Linked DNA regions of Xenopus tropicalis. The protein of the gene in region 1 purifies or fractionates together with the protein of each later gene. This does not show direct contact. Links are inferred from orthologs where the notes say so. Each region holds a gene or a part of one and is shown in the gene's direction. Other genes may lie near its edges. The genes, in order: eif4e and eif3b.

The links.
Region 2: the proteins of eif4e (region 1) and eif3b purify together in Homo sapiens (affinity purification with western blotting; 5 studies listed by BioGRID and IntAct, with this or other methods). This does not show direct contact. The link is inferred for Xenopus tropicalis from reciprocal best matches to the Homo sapiens genes EIF4E and EIF3B.

Annotation. Positions count from the first base shown.
Region 1 is NC_030677.2:74,898,921-74,902,749, forward strand, and holds part of eif4e (eukaryotic translation initiation factor 4E), read left to right. Parts: intron 1-1,937; coding exon 1,938-2,035; intron 2,036-3,072; coding exon 3,073-3,168; intron 3,169-3,829. UniProt on the Homo sapiens protein: Acts in the cytoplasm to initiate and regulate protein synthesis and is required in the nucleus for export of a subset of mRNAs from the nucleus to the cytoplasm which promotes processes such as RNA capping, processing and splicing.
Region 2 is NC_030685.2:31,110,410-31,114,238, forward strand, and holds part of eif3b (eukaryotic translation initiation factor 3 subunit B), read left to right. Parts: intron 1-1,429; coding exon 1,430-1,622; intron 1,623-3,325; coding exon 3,326-3,445; intron 3,446-3,549; coding exon 3,550-3,607; intron 3,608-3,829.

The DNA of each region.
Region 1 (3,829 bases):
GTAATACTGACACATTTTTACAAGTCATCAGTATGTCATCTTTAGGACCTTATTTCCCAGGGATGATAGGGTGTCTTCACTCCTAAATTAGTCAAGCCTAAAAGTTGGTGTGGCTGTCCCTTTGAGAATCATCTGTTTTGGAGGGCAAAATAGTGTATTCTGCAGGAAATGAGGTCCAGGGGATGACATACCAGAGACTTTTAAAAATGTGTTCGCAAAATGAGAAAAAATTGATTTATGTAGTTCTAGCATCTGATGCATAGCTAATTATTTAGTACTATATATCAGTGTAACGTTTTTAGAGTTGTCAAAAATCTGCTCCTTTAGTTTGATCAAGTGAATTATTTCTTTTAATTCTAATCTTAAAACAGCTATTCGCTTATGATCTTAGCAGATCTTCATCTCCGAGTATTCTCTGTACAGTGAAGTACATGGGCCGGAGTACAGTTTGATAGTTTCTTCCAGGAAGATTTTCTCCATATTCAAGTTTGTTGGATGGAATATTAGTGCACCTTAGTTTTAAAATAGTGTCACGGATTCTCAGATGGATAGATAGCAAGGGTCCATGCCTGTGCAGGACATTCACTTTTTTTGTGCTTCTCCAGTGTAATTTTGGCCACCTTGTGTTTAAGATAATTGCTCTGTGAAAATCTGGAGTTCTTTTGCAGTAGTTTTTCCCTATTTTGCACCATCCATTCTTCCTTGTATTTTAAGTAGTTTCCCAGACCTTTTTTGATAAAAAGCTGAGAACTGAAAAAATACATTAAGTGAAAGAAAAAATGTTGAAGTAACCTGAGACCTAGAAGATTGAAAAGTAAATCTGATCTAGAAATGTGTGGTTACCACTCTTGGTGGTGTGCAAGTCTGTGTTTTTAAATTAGAGATTGTAAACCACCCTGAAGCTGGTGATATACGTTGAGATTTTTCTCTCCCTAGCGACTAATTTCACTGCAATTCAACAAATCGGCCAAATTATTCTAAAGTTAGTAGACACCGAACGATTGTGGATATAGCAGTTTTTCTTCCAACATTGGTCAGAAAATTGATTGGGCAGGTTTGAAAATTTTCGTTGTTAACAATGAAATTTGACCATTGTCCAATTATTTGTAGGACCAAACAGGTCATTTTTCTAGTTTCAACTAGATGATATTGCTTATAATGGTCCTTTTCGTTGATGAGCAGATGTTACTTTTAAATGATTGTTTCAGGATAAGCTTGGTCTTACGAAAATGAAGAGATCTTTTAAAAATCTTAATGTGTATGGCCAACTTATGGGTAAGGTCACACAAGTGTATTATCAGCCTGCGGATAAGCAAAGGCTGACGATACACCTTACGCTTAAAAAAAACTTTTTGTGCCTGCTCCGAGAAGCATTGAATCCACCTGGGTGCAGGCACACACGGCCAATATCCGCCAACTAACGCCAGACTTGGAATTGCCCAATATTTGCTGCCTGTGCCTGCACCCGGGGTGGAATCAATGCTTCCAGACGCAGGCACAACAAGATTTTTTTTTTAAGCATGGGGCATATTGTCAGCCTTCGCTGGGCAGAGCTACACAACTTTTTAAATGGCGCTAAAAAGATGAGGCAAATAAATCTTGTTTTACCACCATCTTAGTTCTCATAGATAACCACAGAAATGACATCCCATTGTCAATACATTATGAAGTACTATTAATAAATATCAAATATACAATTAAGACTGTTAGATTTAAACAAGCCTTGTGGTCCAAGGCATATTTCTAAAAATCGAGCATCACGCTCCCAACACCAAATCGAAAATTTAACATTCATATTGTACTACTCAAAGTTCCAGAATATGGGATACACAACTTCACGTTCTGTATTGAACAATATTTTTGACTTTTTTTTTTTTTGTTTTGTTTTTGCAAACCGGAACTAACTGGATTTAAATGTTTCCCTGTTTTTTTGTTAGGAGGGTACCAATCCCCAATCTACGGAAGAGGAAAAAACAGAGACTAGTCAGGAGATTGTAAGCCCCGATCAGTACATTAAGCATCCACTACAGAACAGGTAAAAAAATCCATATTGCAAATGTGCTATGCATGAATAATGCCATTTTAAAGACAGTTTATATACTATAATTACATTTTAGGTTAACTAATAACCTCTGTAGATTGAGTAGAACTGAGTCAGACTAATTTCTTTTTTTGAGTGGTAAATTACAATGTATACATTGCAGTGTTAATGCGGTGCACATGTCTCTAACCTGGCCTGTTAAAATATGGCTTACTTGAGGTTTTATAATCAAAATTCATATGTCCCAAGAGTAAAACAATGCCGTGCCCTGCTAGTATAGACTAGTTGCTGAACATCTGTTAAGCCAAAATGTTCTCTACTTAAAAGAAACTAGAATGTAGTAAGTAAGACCAGAATGGTTTATGTATCTGCACCTGCTTTGCTCTGACTGATGCCACCTTCCATTGAGCTGTGTTGAAATTCTCTGAGAAACCAGCTGCTTCAAGTACCAGCATGTTTATATGGCTGTAGAAGGGCAGGCTGAGAGATGTATTTTTTTCTTTTATATGATAAGACTCCTTGGAGATTTCACAATGCAGTCTGTTCTTTTTGGTAGGGTGCAGTCTGTAAATAATTATAATTTATATGACATTTAAACAGCAAATTGTACCATAACCTAAAGGAAAGTCAGATATGGAATATTGGTATTGTATGCATACAGAAATATTAAGCATGCTTGTTCAATACAGCGGACTGCATGTAATTAACATGGTTTTTTTTTAAAGTGAATATCAAATCATGGTCTCTTTAAAGCCATGGTACCTGAAGTAACAAACTATATAACTGCCGTCTCCATTGCATTCATATTAAACTTGCAGCACTGTGTGCTATTGTGGGAATATGTGCATATAAATGTGGTCAGCCAGTCGGTATCTGAAAAATGCTATTTTTGGACTTGTAGCAGCTGGATTATGGGGACCTCCTTCCTTGAGACTAAATACAAAAATGATTGGAGGGCTTTAAAAATTCATTAAACAATGTGTCTATGTATGTGTAGAGATATTAACAATTAACTTTTTGGAAATTTTTAGATGGGCCCTTTGGTTCTTCAAAAATGACAAAAGCAAAACTTGGCAGGCTAACCTTCGCCTAATTTCAAAATTTGATACAGTTGAAGATTTTTGGGCGTAAGTATTTTTTTTTGAGCATAAGCATAATAAATAAGATGTGCTTTGAATATTTTACCTATTTTAATGTAAAATTGCTTTTTATTTATTTTATGTATTTATTTTATAATAAGCAAAAAAATATTGTTTTCCTTCTTTCACCCACAACCCCCCAATTTCAGGAGAAAAAACAAGCTCTTTATCCTCTCCCTTCTACCTGCTGCCAGCGTCTTAGGTTTACAGATCACACGGTTGCTAAGAACAACCTTGGATTTTCAAAGTATAGGTTCTTTCATTTTTACTCTTTGGATGTGATTGTAATCACTTAACCTGATACCCCTGACCAGTGCTTCTGTTAACAGGAAACTGTCCCGGCTCAGGGTACATGTGAGCAAGTGATACTTTTCTCCCCTTCTTTATTAAAAATCCTGGGGCCAATGCATGTGCAGTAGCGAAAAAAATGGCTTTTTTTGTTAAAGGTTGGCTTTTCACTCTACTATGCATGCGTACTCAGCACGAATTAAGAAGCAGGAAGAGGATCACTAACTTGCATGTACCCAGAGCCAGTGCAGTTTTCTGCTAACAGGAGAGCACCATTAGCTTAAAATAATAGGTAGTTTCATTGAAATCATGCTCATACTGTCCCTTTGCCATCTGCAGTTCTTATGGTTACATCACTGAA
Region 2 (3,829 bases), on another chromosome or scaffold:
AGGAGAGCAAGTAGGCATTCCCTGGGTCTCACTGTAACTGGCTTTTCGGCTGCCCCAACCCCGTGGTGTTGCCCCCACAGTTAAGGAACATCTGGTACAAAGTGTCCCATTTTAATGCATGTGAGAACATTCAACAATGTATTAAATTAAGATTAGGATACATTGTCCAGTATCCAACAAAATTGACTTGTGGGCACAAAATAGATATCTGATAAATGGCTATCCCCTTGCATGGCCACCCTCTGTTCCATTTTTTTGGACCAATGACCTAGGTGATTGGAACTGTATAAGTAAAGGGGAATTGCATATTCTCTTTAATTCCATACCAACTGATGCATTATGTATTTGCTGATGTTCAAACCTGTCTGAAATCTGCTGTCTGATGAGATTGTAAATGTATGGCAGGTAAGGGGCTATCATGAATGAATATCCTGCAACCTGTTGAGCAGTGTGGTCAAAATGGACTACTGTGGATATGTATTTATATAATATATACTACATCTTCATGTTTTTTTAACTTGTCAGAATGTAACCTATTGTTTAGAAACTCTCCCAGTCTGCACAAGTAGAACCTGATGACAAGATAATGGAAGCAGGTGATTGTAGTCTTTCCAGTTAACACCTCCAAAGTTTTAATAAAGCTTAGGCACTATCTTAGATATTTTGCATTATGACATTAATTGCATGTCTTGTTTAAATCCAGTAAACTAAAGAACACTATGATGCTCTTGTTTTGGGTAATATCAGATGGGCTGTCTGTCTAAATGTCTCCTAAAGGTGGCCATACACGCACCGATATTATCGTACGAAACCTCGTTTCGTACGATAATCGGTGCGTGTATGGTATGTCAGCGAGCCGACCGATGTCGCAGGAAGCTGCTGAAATCGGTCGGCTCGTCGATCGGCCAGGTTAGAAAATTTTGATCGGGCGCCATAGAAGGCGCCTGACCAAAATTCTCCCTTCAGAGCTGAATCGGCAGAAGGAGGTAGAAATCCTATTGTTTCTACCTCCTTACCTGCCGATTCAGCCCTGAATGGTGTGTGGCGGATCTGACGATGTTTCGTGCGACCGATGGTCGTACGAAACATCGTCGGATCGCCACGTGTATGGCCAGCTTTAGCATGGGAACCTTATGTAAACTTTTTTGTGTTGGCAACAACTGTTCACATTATTGACTGTGCTACCTGCGGTCTGTATTGGTGTTGTAATGATAGTACCTCCCTAAGCAGCTGACTTTAAAACTGGATTTTGTCATGGATTATGTCAGAGGTTGACTATTTTCCACCAAATAAAATTTCAGTGTATGCTTTCAATTTTCTTTCAAATAGTTATATGTGGAAATCAAATTAAAACATTGAAGCAGAAGACAATATTAAGCTTTTTCAGTTTTAATATGTCTTTTTTTTTTTTTTTTTTTTTTTCCCCCAGAGTTGCTTGGTGATATCCTGAAAGACCGTCCTCAAGAGGCAGATGGAATTGACTCTGTAGTTGTGGTAGATAATGTGCCACAGGTTGGACCTGACCGCTTGGAAAAACTCAAAAATGTCATCAATAAAATTTTCTCCAAATTTGGTAAAATTACCAATGAATATTATCCAGAAGCAGAAGGCACCACCAGGGGGTATGTAGACACAACTGAACAGATAAAATAAGGAAAACGGCACAGTGGGCAATTATCTGTGTATTGCGATCTAACTTGAGCGGTGGCCACAAAACTCTGTGTATTGCCCATTATTTGTCCTCAGTGGAAATTGCCTTGACTATACCAATGAATTCATAGGTCAGGGTCTGTAGCTCACTACTGCATTTGTGAGTGTTAATTGTCTGACTATAGGTCATTGAGGACCAGTTATGAGTGTTAACATGTGCTTAACATGCTTGCGCCAAGCAAAAAAATAAACTACCAAAATTGTTGTTAATGTAACACACAACATGCTAATATTATGCCCGTGGCACACATGGCCTATTCTCCACCAGCTGAAAAAAATGCTGTGGCAATAAACCTTAAAGTTTCATTCAGTAACTGCTTGACTGTAGTTAGATTGTATGAAGGAGCGAAAAGTACCGTATATACTCGAGTATAAGCAGAGTTTTTCAGCACTAAAAACATGCTCCAAAAGTAACCCTCGGCTTATTCTCGAGTATATAGTAAGTTTGCATTTGTCCCAAGTCATTGCCAAAGGGATGCGCCGTAGGACAAGGAAGCACCATATAAAAGAGACATTACCTACACTAAAGAGGGGTCTAAACAAGACTTTCCTCTGCCCCAAACAAGGTAAGCGCTGTACCTCCCAGCTACTTATGCTTTGCAGCAGCTCTTCAGGGAGACGCCATCTCTCTATGCAGCCAGTTCCCAGGCTTCCCCCCCCAGCCTAAGCCTGCTGAAGCTTCTTACACTTACCCTGGAGCCCCTCACCATGTATAAGTGACAAACCTAGGAACAATGTACAGTATCCCCCATTGACTACTTTCCCAACCTGTGCCTTACAGCAGTTTGGCCTAATTGAGTAGCCTACTGCCTCCACAATTGATTGTGGGTCAAAATGGGGCCTTATTATTACATATAACCAAGTTTATCTTGCTTGAGTCTGATAAAAAATAAAATATATCTTGCAATCCACTGTCCACATCACTTTTGTTTTCATGTGTGAGACCTGGGGTGGCGCACGGGGGGGGGGGGAAGCGGCGTGCCAATATGTATGTAAAATTAAATGAGATATTAACCTGTACAACCTTGCATATGGTTATCTTATGTTGGATGCGCCTCATTTTCCAGCCCATACCTTGTGTTTATTAATGGTAGTCATGCACTTGTGAGTGTCCTTTTATTAAATAATTTGATTATTGAAACTTGGCAGTAGCGACGGCATTTCTTACCCTAGGCTTATACTTGAGTCAATAAGTTTTTCCAGTTTTCTTAGGTAAAATTAGGTACCTCGGCTTATACTCGAGTATATACAGATGTCTGCTTGGCACTCACTGAAACTGCTTGCAAACCTCACCGTTGGCAGGCAGCACAGTTCAAGAAACAGTTGCAAAGTATCTGCACAGATGCTATATTGTAGTTACAGTCTTAAATACCCATGCCAATGTATACATACCTATACCATAATAGACAAGAAAGCCTACCAGCCTTTTGCTTCTCCCAGAGTATGTGAAACACTGATGGCTTGACATTTCTGTTACACTGTTAGCAGGATCTTAAACAGTTTAATTTCATTTATGGGCTAAAGAGTATTATAAAGCTGAATGTTATTGTGCTCAAGTTTTGTTTTAAGTTTGGTTGATTACCAACTAAATATATTTTTAACATTTTGTTTTTAGATACATTTTTCTGGAGTATGCTTTGCCAACTCAGGCACAAGATGCAGTAAAGAACGCAGATTGCTACAAACTGGACAAGCAACACACATTCCGCGTGAATCTCTTCACCGACTTTGACAAGTGCGTCTTTATGTTTTGCATTCTCTTTGCAGTTTGTTTGGTTTTTTTTGTTTTTTGTTTTTTTTCAACTTTACATACATGATCATTTCCACTCTGTTTCACAGGTACATGGTTATTGGAGATGAGTGGGAAGCACCTGAAAAACAACCATTTAAAGATTTTGTAAGTGCAACTTCAGTTTGTATTCTCATATTCAACAACTTGGAAATGTGAAAGAATTTCTTACATTTGTAGTGTCCACTATTAATGATAATTTAGCAAATTTTGCATTTTGAAATTAACTCTTTAATGAAAATCTATTGCTGTTGTGCAGTCTGTAGTTTTAGACTTAAAGCAAGTTTCAGTGTGGCCAAAATATTGGCTAATATTCAGATTGGGTCAGCC